Sus scrofa: one gene and its partner. The protein of the gene in region 2 interacts with the protein of the main gene of each other region in a pairwise test. Links are inferred from orthologs where the notes say so. Each region holds a gene or a part of one and is shown on either strand. Other genes may lie near its edges.

Region 1 (4,397 bases), on a different chromosome or scaffold from region 2:
GAGCGTGGTGGGTTCATGAGCCTCCTTCTCCACTGCCCTCATTGCCCCCTGCTGCCGTTCGGGGTTTGATTTCACTACCCTGAGTCTCATTTCCTTATCTGGCAGTGGAGGATCAAGCCACCACCTGGCACCCAAGATTGTTAGGGGGATCAGATTAGATGCAGCAAAAGAAGATGCTGCTGGAAAACCGCAAAGGACAAGAGTGGGGCCTCTGTGAGACAGATGCTCCAGGCAGAGACAGAACCCTGACCTGAGTTCACCCCTGGCCCTGCCACAAATGTGCTCTGGTTTGGCCTCTGAACCTCTGTAAAATAAAGAGATGGCCTCATCCAGACATCAGAAACTCAGCTGCTTGCAGGGCCAAGCAGATACTATTGATCTGCAAAAAAGGGCAGCATAGATCTGGAGAGGAGGGGGGCAGTCTGGCAAACTGGAGCGAGCACAGCCTGCCCCATATTTTAGTATTCTAAAGTTCTTTATATTAAACTCTCTGTTGGCCAAACCAAACATAGGTATAGGCCCCAAATGGCCCTCAAGCTACCAGTTTGTAATCCCTGGATCTTTTGGAAACTTCCATATCCTTTCTGTTGGAGCCAACATTAGTAATTAAAAAGTAGCTGTGATTCAGAGAGTTCTGTCTGTCCGCTGTCAGTGGGAAGCCCAGCCCTGCCCTTTACCAGTTCTGTGTCTATGGGCAGGTGGTTGGGCTTCTCTGGGTCACAGTTTCCTCCTACGTTAAACAGGGCCAAATCATATCCATTCCCCAACCCCTGCTCCTTTTGGTAGGCCCTAGCTCCAAGCATGACAGCCTCTCCCCTCCTTTCAGGAACAGGCCTTCGAGAGCAGCCAGAAGTACAAAGAGGGGAAGTACATCATTGAACTCAACCACATGATCAAAGACAATGGCTGGGACTGACCCTGGCTCCTGACGCCTGTGGCTCCAGCCCGGCCTGGCCGCCAGGGGGCGCCACGGGCTTGCCTCCATCCGAAGGGAGCTCTGGACCTCAGGGCCCCTGCCGAGGAAGGATCCTGTACATATATTTTATTGCATGCACTGTGACCTTGGTGGGAGATCAGAAGGTGGACAAGGTGGACGACACCCCCGCACCTCCCTGCGATCTGGCTGGCTTGGATCTCGTTTTTAACCCCTTCCTGCCCTGCCTGCCCTATAGACATGGCCTGTGTGCTGCTCTCTTGGCCCCAGTGCGCCATCTGCCCTGTGAACTTCTCCTCCCACCGGGCCCCTCTTACCCCACGCGTGTCTGCTCCCCTTGTTCTGTAGCGTTTGTACATAATAAAACAATGAAGTGGAGACAGCCCAGGCTCACGTGGAATCCGGGAAGGGGGGACTCAAATGCAGACTCCTGTCTCTACAGACCCATTTCCTTCTGGATCCCGGGTGGGGTAGGCACGGCGGTCAAAGCTGAGAACCTTTGCACCTGGGGCTCAGCTATCTTGGCACCCAGGAAGGACCTCACTGCCGGTGGAGATTCCCCGAGCCCACTCTAGCTCGTGAGGCATTGACCTCAGCTGATCTGCATCTTCTCAGCCTAAGAGTTCAGACGCCGCCTAGGGGCTGCTCTCCCGGGAGGCAACGGCGCCGCCGGTTTCACCGCCCTCCTCGTCTCAACTACAACTTCCAGCGGCCACAGCGGCATCTGCCTGTCTCCTTCGCGCGGAACCCAGGCGCTAGGCCTGCTGGGAAGTGTAGTTCCGTGGACTCCCCAGCGCGGGACCTTCTGGGAAACCCAGGTGCTAGCCGTCAAGAGACCGTCGAGCTGCGGGCGTCTCTTAAACTTCTGAGACTCGGCCGAGGGTGGAGGGTTTTCGGAATGGGAACCAAGAAGGACGCCAGGGTTCAGGCCTCAGCTGCGGACTCCTCGAATTCCCCAGTGAGCTCAGGCCGCGTCCCTCCAGCCCTGCTCCTTCCCTCCAGTCATGCTTCGTTCCTCCACATCTCACCCTCCAGGTGAAGGGTGGAGGGGTCACCTGCCAAAAAAGTCTGGGGCGCCAAGGTCTGTGCCAGGACTCCGAGCTCCATCCCTGGGCCCAGGCCCCGCCTCTCAGTAGCTTATCCCTAGCCGGGGCTCCCCCCGTGGGAACGGGGACCAGCTGGCCGGAAGCGCCAAACTGCGTCCCTGTCGAGCCCCGGGGATCAATCAGGCCGAGGAGTTAATTATGTAATGAGGGGGCAGGGGGTCGGGGCTAATGAAGCCTAGGGGGGTGGGGAGGGGAGAAAGGGAGGATACCCAGGTATCCGGCCCCCTCTTGGACCCCTTCCAGGCCCCAGGGGTCTCCACCCCAGCCCAACTCCAGGGCCCCAAAGAGGGGAGGGGCTGTGATCCTGGGTTTGGAAGGGGCTGAGCTGTGAGCTATAAAGCGGGCATCTCTCAGCACCGGGGCACTCTAGGCAGCGTGACCTGAGGCCAGACAGGACTACTCCATGTACCATCCACGGGAGCTGTACCCCTCCCTGGGGCCCAGCTACCGCCTTGGGCCCCCCCAGCCCGGGGCAGATTCCAGCTTCCCGCCTGCCCTGGCAGAGAGCTATCGCTACCCGGGTGAGCATGAGCGGTGGGAGCAGTTCCTGGGCAGGAATTGGGGTGGGGGGCTGTGGCCCTCGGCTGGCTCCTCATTCTCTTCCCATCTCCAGATCTGGACCCTCCCAAACTGGATTGCTTCCTCTCTGGGATTGAAGCTGCTCCCCGCCCTCTGGCTGCGCCCCCACCTCTACCCCCACTGCCCCCAGCCCTGGGCACCGAGCCACCCCCTCCAGCCCCAGAAGCCCTTCATTCTCTCCCTGGAGTCAGCCTGAGCCTGGAGAACCGGGAGCTGTGGAAGGAGTTCAACTCCGTAGGAACAGAGATGATCATCACCAAAGCCGGGAGGTGAGGGGGCTGGGCCAGGGTCAGAGGACCCCGGAGGTGTCCCTGGTGGGGGTCTCTTGGGAAAGGCAGAGGTCCAGGGGATGGGGCTAGGGCTCTTCGTAAGAGTGTGACTATGGCCTGGATCAGGGGTTCTGCACAGGGGGTCATTCTGTGGCAAGGGTCAAGGGTCAGTCTGTGGCATCTGCGGCTGGTTTAGGGACTAACCTATGGCAAGAGTCTTAGGTCATTCTGGGCCAGGGTCGGAAAGTCTGGTTAGGTTATAGGTTAGCGTGTGCCTGGATCAGGGGTCAGTCTGTGGCCAGGGTCAGGATTTCGACTATGAGTGGGGTCAGGCCATTGACCAGCAGCAGGGAAGTCTGGCCAGGATCAGAGGTCAGGATGTGACTAGATCTGGGGTCACCTTGGTGACAGGGATATGGTCTGTGTGTGGGTCTTTATCTAGGCCGAGAACTCAGGCCCTGGCATGATAAGGCCCCTTTTTATTTTCTCTGAAGCAAGTGTCTCCAGCAGCTACAGGTTCTGGTGCTGGAGATCAAGCTGGGGAACACAGGGCTCCTGGGAAGATTTCCGGGGAAAAAAACCGTGTCACTCCTGCTTCTGCAATGGAGTTTGAGGGGCCAGGAGTCAGGAGTCTGGACCTGCTCCTAACCTGCTGTGTGACTCACTGTCCTGTTTCTCATCTGTAAAATGGGATGAGACAAGCTTACGGCCCTAAGATCTGCCCTGGGAGCTCGGATTCCAGGTCCCTTGATTTTCTGTGGCTATGCCGCCTGGCTGGTGCTGTACCCCGGCGGGTAGGTAGCTCCAGGCCTCTCGCGTCCCTTCCTCCGCTCAGGCGCATGTTCCCCGCTTGCCGAGTATCTGTCACCGGCCTGGACCCCGAGGCCCGCTACCTGTTTCTTCTGGATGTGGTTCCGGTGGATGGGGCTCGCTACCGCTGGCAGGGCCGGCGTTGGGAGCCCAGCGGCAAGGCAGAGCCCCGCCTGCCGGACCGCGTTTACATCCACCCCGACTCCCCCGCCACCGGTGCCCACTGGATGCGGCAGCCTGTGTCCTTTCACCGCGTCAAGCTCACCAACAGCACGCTGGACCCCCACGGCCACGTGAGGCCCAGGCTGGGACCCCCCCCGATGGGGGGTGGGGGTGGGGCCGGGGTAGGGAGTCACCCCTGTTTCTTCCCTCCCAGCTGATCTTGCACTCCATGCACAAGTATCAGCCCCGCATACACCTGGTGCGGGCCGCCCAGCTTTGCAGCCAACACTGGGGGGGCGTGGCCTCCTTCCGCTTCCCCGAGACCGCGTTCATCTCCGTGACAGCCTATCAGAACCCGCGGGTGAGTGACCCCGGCGGAGGGGGCGGCGCCCCTGTCCAGGCTGCGGGGATGTTGACTCCGGCTGTGCACCCTCCACCCTCCAGATCACACAGCTGAAGATCGCAGCCAACCCCTTTGCCAAAGGCTTCCGGGAGAATGGCCGAAACTGTAAGAGGTGGGCATCATTCTTTCATTCA
Region 2 (4,525 bases):
GGACTGTCCAATATTCTGACTCTCCAAAAAGATGCCTCTGTTTCTAGGGGAAGATAGCCAACACTATCATGGATGACTAAGATGGTCCTGGGTTTGCTTTCTCAAACTCCACTACTTCCTAATTGTAGGACTTCTTGAAAGGGAAATTAACCCCTCCAAACCTGTTACCTCATCTGTAAAAAGAGTATGATTTAAAAACAGGGGAGGGAAGAACTGAAACAAGAATGGCACAAAGTTAATAATTAATGAAGCTGATTGATAGACATTTCACTATACTATTCTCTTTTATGAGTTTGAACATTTGCATAACAAAAAGGAAAAAGAGAGGGAGTTTAAAATAGTACCCACTTCATGTAATAATTGTAGGGCTTAAAGAAATCATCATCATTATTACAAGGAATTTTTACAAATCCTAGTTATTACCAGGAATGTTTAAATATCCATTTAATCATCCCAACAACCCAAAGAAATGCATAGTAATCATCTCCATTTGGCAGATGAGGAAACTGAAGCTCACATAAATTAAACAAATCCTGCAGCTGGCACAGGGCTGAAATGCGATCTGAAACCAGAGCTATCTGACTCTACCATCGCAGCTGCCTTTATTTCAAGAATAGCTCATTGTGTTTGACGTGGTTGATATCTGCACGACTATGGTATTGCTTATTCATCAAAGGCAACGGTTTCCTCGCTCTTTTCTCATAGCAGACCCCTTTTTTCAAATGCAGCCAGTACGCAGAACTTCAGTAAATAAAACCCCTAAAAGCTGAACAGCTCTGGTTGAGGTGGGGATTGGGACTCCAGCAGGGCCCCTGAAGCACCATAGGGTCTATGAGGATCCCGTGAAAACTGCAGATAGAAGCCATCAAAAACACCAACCAAACCCAGAACCCCAAGAACTGCAATTAGGGACAGCCTCGTTGGTATAACGCAGCTTCCAGTTTTCTGTCTCCCATCACATTTGATTCTCATTATCAACTCTGAGGTGGACAAGGCAGGGCATATTAGCCTCACTTTGCAGATGAGAAAATCAAGGCCAAAGGGAGTTAAGCAACTGGCCAAAGGTGTGCCAGTTCGCTTCTTGGCCAAGCACAGACTGGAATTAGAGTCTGGCTCCATTAACTCCCTGTGACCTGGCAGAGAGGGTGCCATCGACTGGAAATTGCCATTGACCCTTGGTCCATAAAGTGGACAATCAGCTCCTTGGCCACTGAGAGCTGAACACAGCCCCACAGGCCCCCTGCCAAGGCCTTGTCCCAGAGCAGATGGTGGTGGGCAGAGGAGAGGGGCTCGGTGGCACTGGAGGGCCGGATAGCAGGATTTTGGCTGTAGATAGGCCATTGCCATCCCAGCCATGTCCTGCTGAGCAGGGAGCAAGGGAGGCGATGACAGCCAAAGTGCTTTCCACCTTCCTGTGTTGCAAGTAAGGGAGCTCAAAAAAGGACAGCAGGTAGCGCAGAACTGGGGAGCAGTTACACTTTGCATAGAAATTCCTGAAACCAGATGCAGCTGATAATTGCCTGAATGGCTCCCTCACTCCAGAGCATCTCTGAGCAGAGCTGGAGCATGTGTTGAAACAGGCAACACTTAATTATCGCTTAGTCTTTAATTAGCACTTAATTATTAACACCTAATCCATCTGTAAAATGGGGACACTAATACCTGCCTCATAGAGACTCTGGGAGGATTAATTAATGTTTGCAGCCCACTTTGAAGATGCAAAGCAGCAAACAACTGCTCAGTGGTGGCATGAATAACTCGGTGGATTTACTTGCTCTTCCTAACGAGGTCCCTTCTTCCTCTCTGTTGCTCCCTTTCCTTTCTAATATCCATCCCCAACAACATCTGCCCAACTTTGCCCTGGTGGAGAAACATTTAGCTCTGCGTTTCCCAGACACAGGATTTCCCATCCAGGAAACGGGCTATTTACAGCCATCTTCCCGCACTTTAATTTTCTATTATGTCCTCTGAATATGTCAATGCCTTCCCAGTAAATATTTTGATGTGCGCTCTTGCAGCAGCTTCTGTGGAGGCTGAATGGGACAGCTGCTCCCTGTATTAGGGAATTCCAGATGTGGTTTAAAACCATCAGACTCATCTGTGTCAACGCCTAGCCTTTGGGGGTGGGAGGGGAGAAGGATCTCCCTGTGCGTCTGAGGAAAGCCGTGGACATCTAACCCTCAGCCTTGGCTAGGGTGGCTTTTCAAGGTCTTCAGACCTACATCTGAGTAGCCTATGCCTTGGAATGAGAAATTGCCCTTAGTGGGCTGGGTCAGAGGCAGCAGCAATACAGCCCTGGTCTGGTTCTTTGCCCAGGTAACTTCAGGACCCCAATCAATGCTCCTATAAAGACGGGGAAAAAGGACCATTGTGGGTAGAGGAAATATACACAACCTTTAGGGTTTAGCCAGATTCAACAAGAGGTCAGAACATTCCCCCGGAGGGTGAGCCCTCATCTCCTCCCTCCTCCCCTGGGTCATGAAAGGGGACACTCACTCTTCTTGGAAGCTGGGCCCGTTGTCTCTTGGAGTGCCAGCCACAGGGGCAGAGAGCTGCTCCTTTGAGGTCCTGGGCTGCAAGGCCTCAGGCAGGCCCTGAACTCTCTTCCAGATTTCATGGCAAGTCTTGTCTAAGCTGTCTTGGGGTGTGTCCTGGTGGATCCAGATGTATCTGGGAAATGGGCCTAGGGCGGAAGGGCGCTTGGCCACCAGGGCCGAGGACAAAGCCAGCCCATTCCCACTGGCCATCCTCTTCCTCTCTTTCTGGAAGCCCCTTTGTCCACCCAGAGCTCGAAAACAGGGCGACCATCCACCACCACCCCTCATTCACCAGAAAGGGAGATGAGGATGGGGCAGAAGCAGGTCAGTTCTGTCTGGCTGTTGGTCCAGCAAAGTGACTCTGTTCAGAGGCCTTCGATGTGTGTATGAGTGGTGGCTGGATGACAGCTTTCTTTTAGGGAGGGGGAACTTATTTTGATTTGTTTTTATTTGCTCTTTCCTGACTTTTGCCCCCCTCACCCCCTCCCTTAGAAGAAAATATTTAAAAGTCAACAAAAACCAGTAGCTTAGTAACCGTAGAATCCCCCTGTGCTCAGGAACCAGGCGCCTGAGCCGGCAGAATGACATCTGGGAACAGATGAAAGGGGAGGGCTGGCTCTCCCCACAGTCCCTGGCTCTCCCCACAGTCCCTGGCACTCCCCCGTTGCGACACGTCCGCAGCAGCCCCTGACACCTTTTGGTGTCTGGGGCTCAGCGCATCATCGCTGGCTAAGCCTGGAGGATGACCAGGTGAGGGCCTGGCACTGTGCTAGGCACCAGGGTCCAGCAGCCTGCCATGGGATTCTCGTCTGGCTTTCCCAGGGACCCCGCTCCCACCTAGGGCCAACCGTCCCTAGGTCGGCAGAGGCCGCTACCCCCTCCCCCCCCACTTGCTCGCCCACTGCCGCCTCGGGTCCCCCCTCTCTTGGCTACTCTTCCGCCTGCAGGAACACTGTTGAGTGCCCTGGCGACCCCCCCGGAGACACCTGCCACGGCCCTAGGGGTCGACGGGAAGGGTCCCAATGCTTTAAAAGAGCGCTGTCTCAGCGGGGCAGCTGGGGCCGATTCGCTTGCCGGTGGCTCCCACACCCTTTCCGTCCAGCGCTGGAATTCCGCGGAGGGTTTCAAAAGCAACGGCTCGGTGCGCGCGCGCTGCGTCCTAGGTTGGGAGGCCCAGGCCCTCCGGTGGGCGGAGGCCCCCAGAGCGCTTCCCCCGTGAAAAGTCGAGGGCACCGCGCCCTCCGCCTCGTCCCCCTCGCACCTCCGCACCCTCCTGAGAGCCTGCCGGTCCCTGCCCCAGGATCGCTGATTTCACCCCTAACTGTCCTTTGCTTGGGTGCTCACCGTGTGCCAAGCGCCCGGCTTTCCGTGGCCGGTTCACTCCGAACCAGCTCATGAAGTTAGTACCTTTACATATTATCCTTCCACGTTTGAAGAAACCCAGTCACAAAGTCCTGAAGGGACTGAGCCCACCAGGAACAAGGTAGTTGGGGTTCAAACCCAGGCACCCCAGGCTGCTGAAATAGACCGGCCGGGTCCTCCAGCGCTGCGTAAGCCTTCCCTGGGGGTGGACGGAGGTGCAGAGAGAAGGGCTAAGCTAACCTTGTGCTGCTCAGAGCGCTCCGCCCCTCGCTAGAGGGACTTTAACTCGGAACTGACAAGGCGCCTCTGCCTGCCCTCGGGCTCTCTGGCCCTGGGAGTCAGTGGTTGTTCCTCCAGAGTTTCCCCAGAAGAGGAAGTGCCAGAGGAGGGGAAAGCAGAAAGAGGGACCGACTCGATGGCAGCCCCTACACGGAGGGCCCCCTTCCTCCTCGGGTGACCCTGACGTCCTTCATTCCTTCGTCAGATATTGACTGAGCCCTGCTCTGTGCTGGTGAGTGGCTGGACACTGAGGAAGCATGAAGATGAGCAAAATGGGCGTGGTTCTCATGGAGCCTGTATTCTAGGGGAGAAAGACAGACGGCCAACTAGCAGAGCAAGTAAATAAT

The links. The genes of interacting proteins can lie anywhere in the genome.
Region 1: the proteins of C6H1orf94 (region 2) and TBX6 interact in binary tests that used the Homo sapiens proteins (3 or more experiments, as listed by UniProt). The link is inferred for Sus scrofa from reciprocal best matches to the Homo sapiens genes C1orf94 and TBX6.

The regions. Positions count from the first base shown.
Region 1 is NC_010445.4:18,274,918-18,279,314, reverse strand, and holds the start of TBX6 (T-box transcription factor TBX6), read left to right. Parts: upstream 1-1,450; 5' UTR 1,451-1,938; coding exon of another isoform or gene 1,939-1,969; exon of another isoform or gene 1,970-2,015; intron 2,016-2,394; 5' UTR 2,395-2,443; coding exon 2,444-2,561; intron 2,562-2,653; coding exon 2,654-2,888; intron 2,889-3,382; exon of another isoform or gene 3,383-3,580; coding exon of another isoform or gene 3,581-3,723; coding exon 3,724-3,991; intron 3,992-4,074; coding exon 4,075-4,221; intron 4,222-4,304; coding exon 4,305-4,375; intron 4,376-4,397. Other genes in the region: YPEL3 (protein yippee-like 3), read left to right, coding at 1-7, 827-893. UniProt on the Homo sapiens protein: T-box transcription factor that plays an essential role in the determination of the fate of axial stem cells: neural vs mesodermal. Acts in part by down-regulating, a specific enhancer (N1) of SOX2, to inhibit neural development.
Region 2 is NC_010448.4:90,439,233-90,443,757, reverse strand, and holds the start of C6H1orf94 (uncharacterized protein C1orf94 homolog), read right to left. Parts: upstream 2,826-4,525; coding exon 2,497-2,825; intron 1-2,496.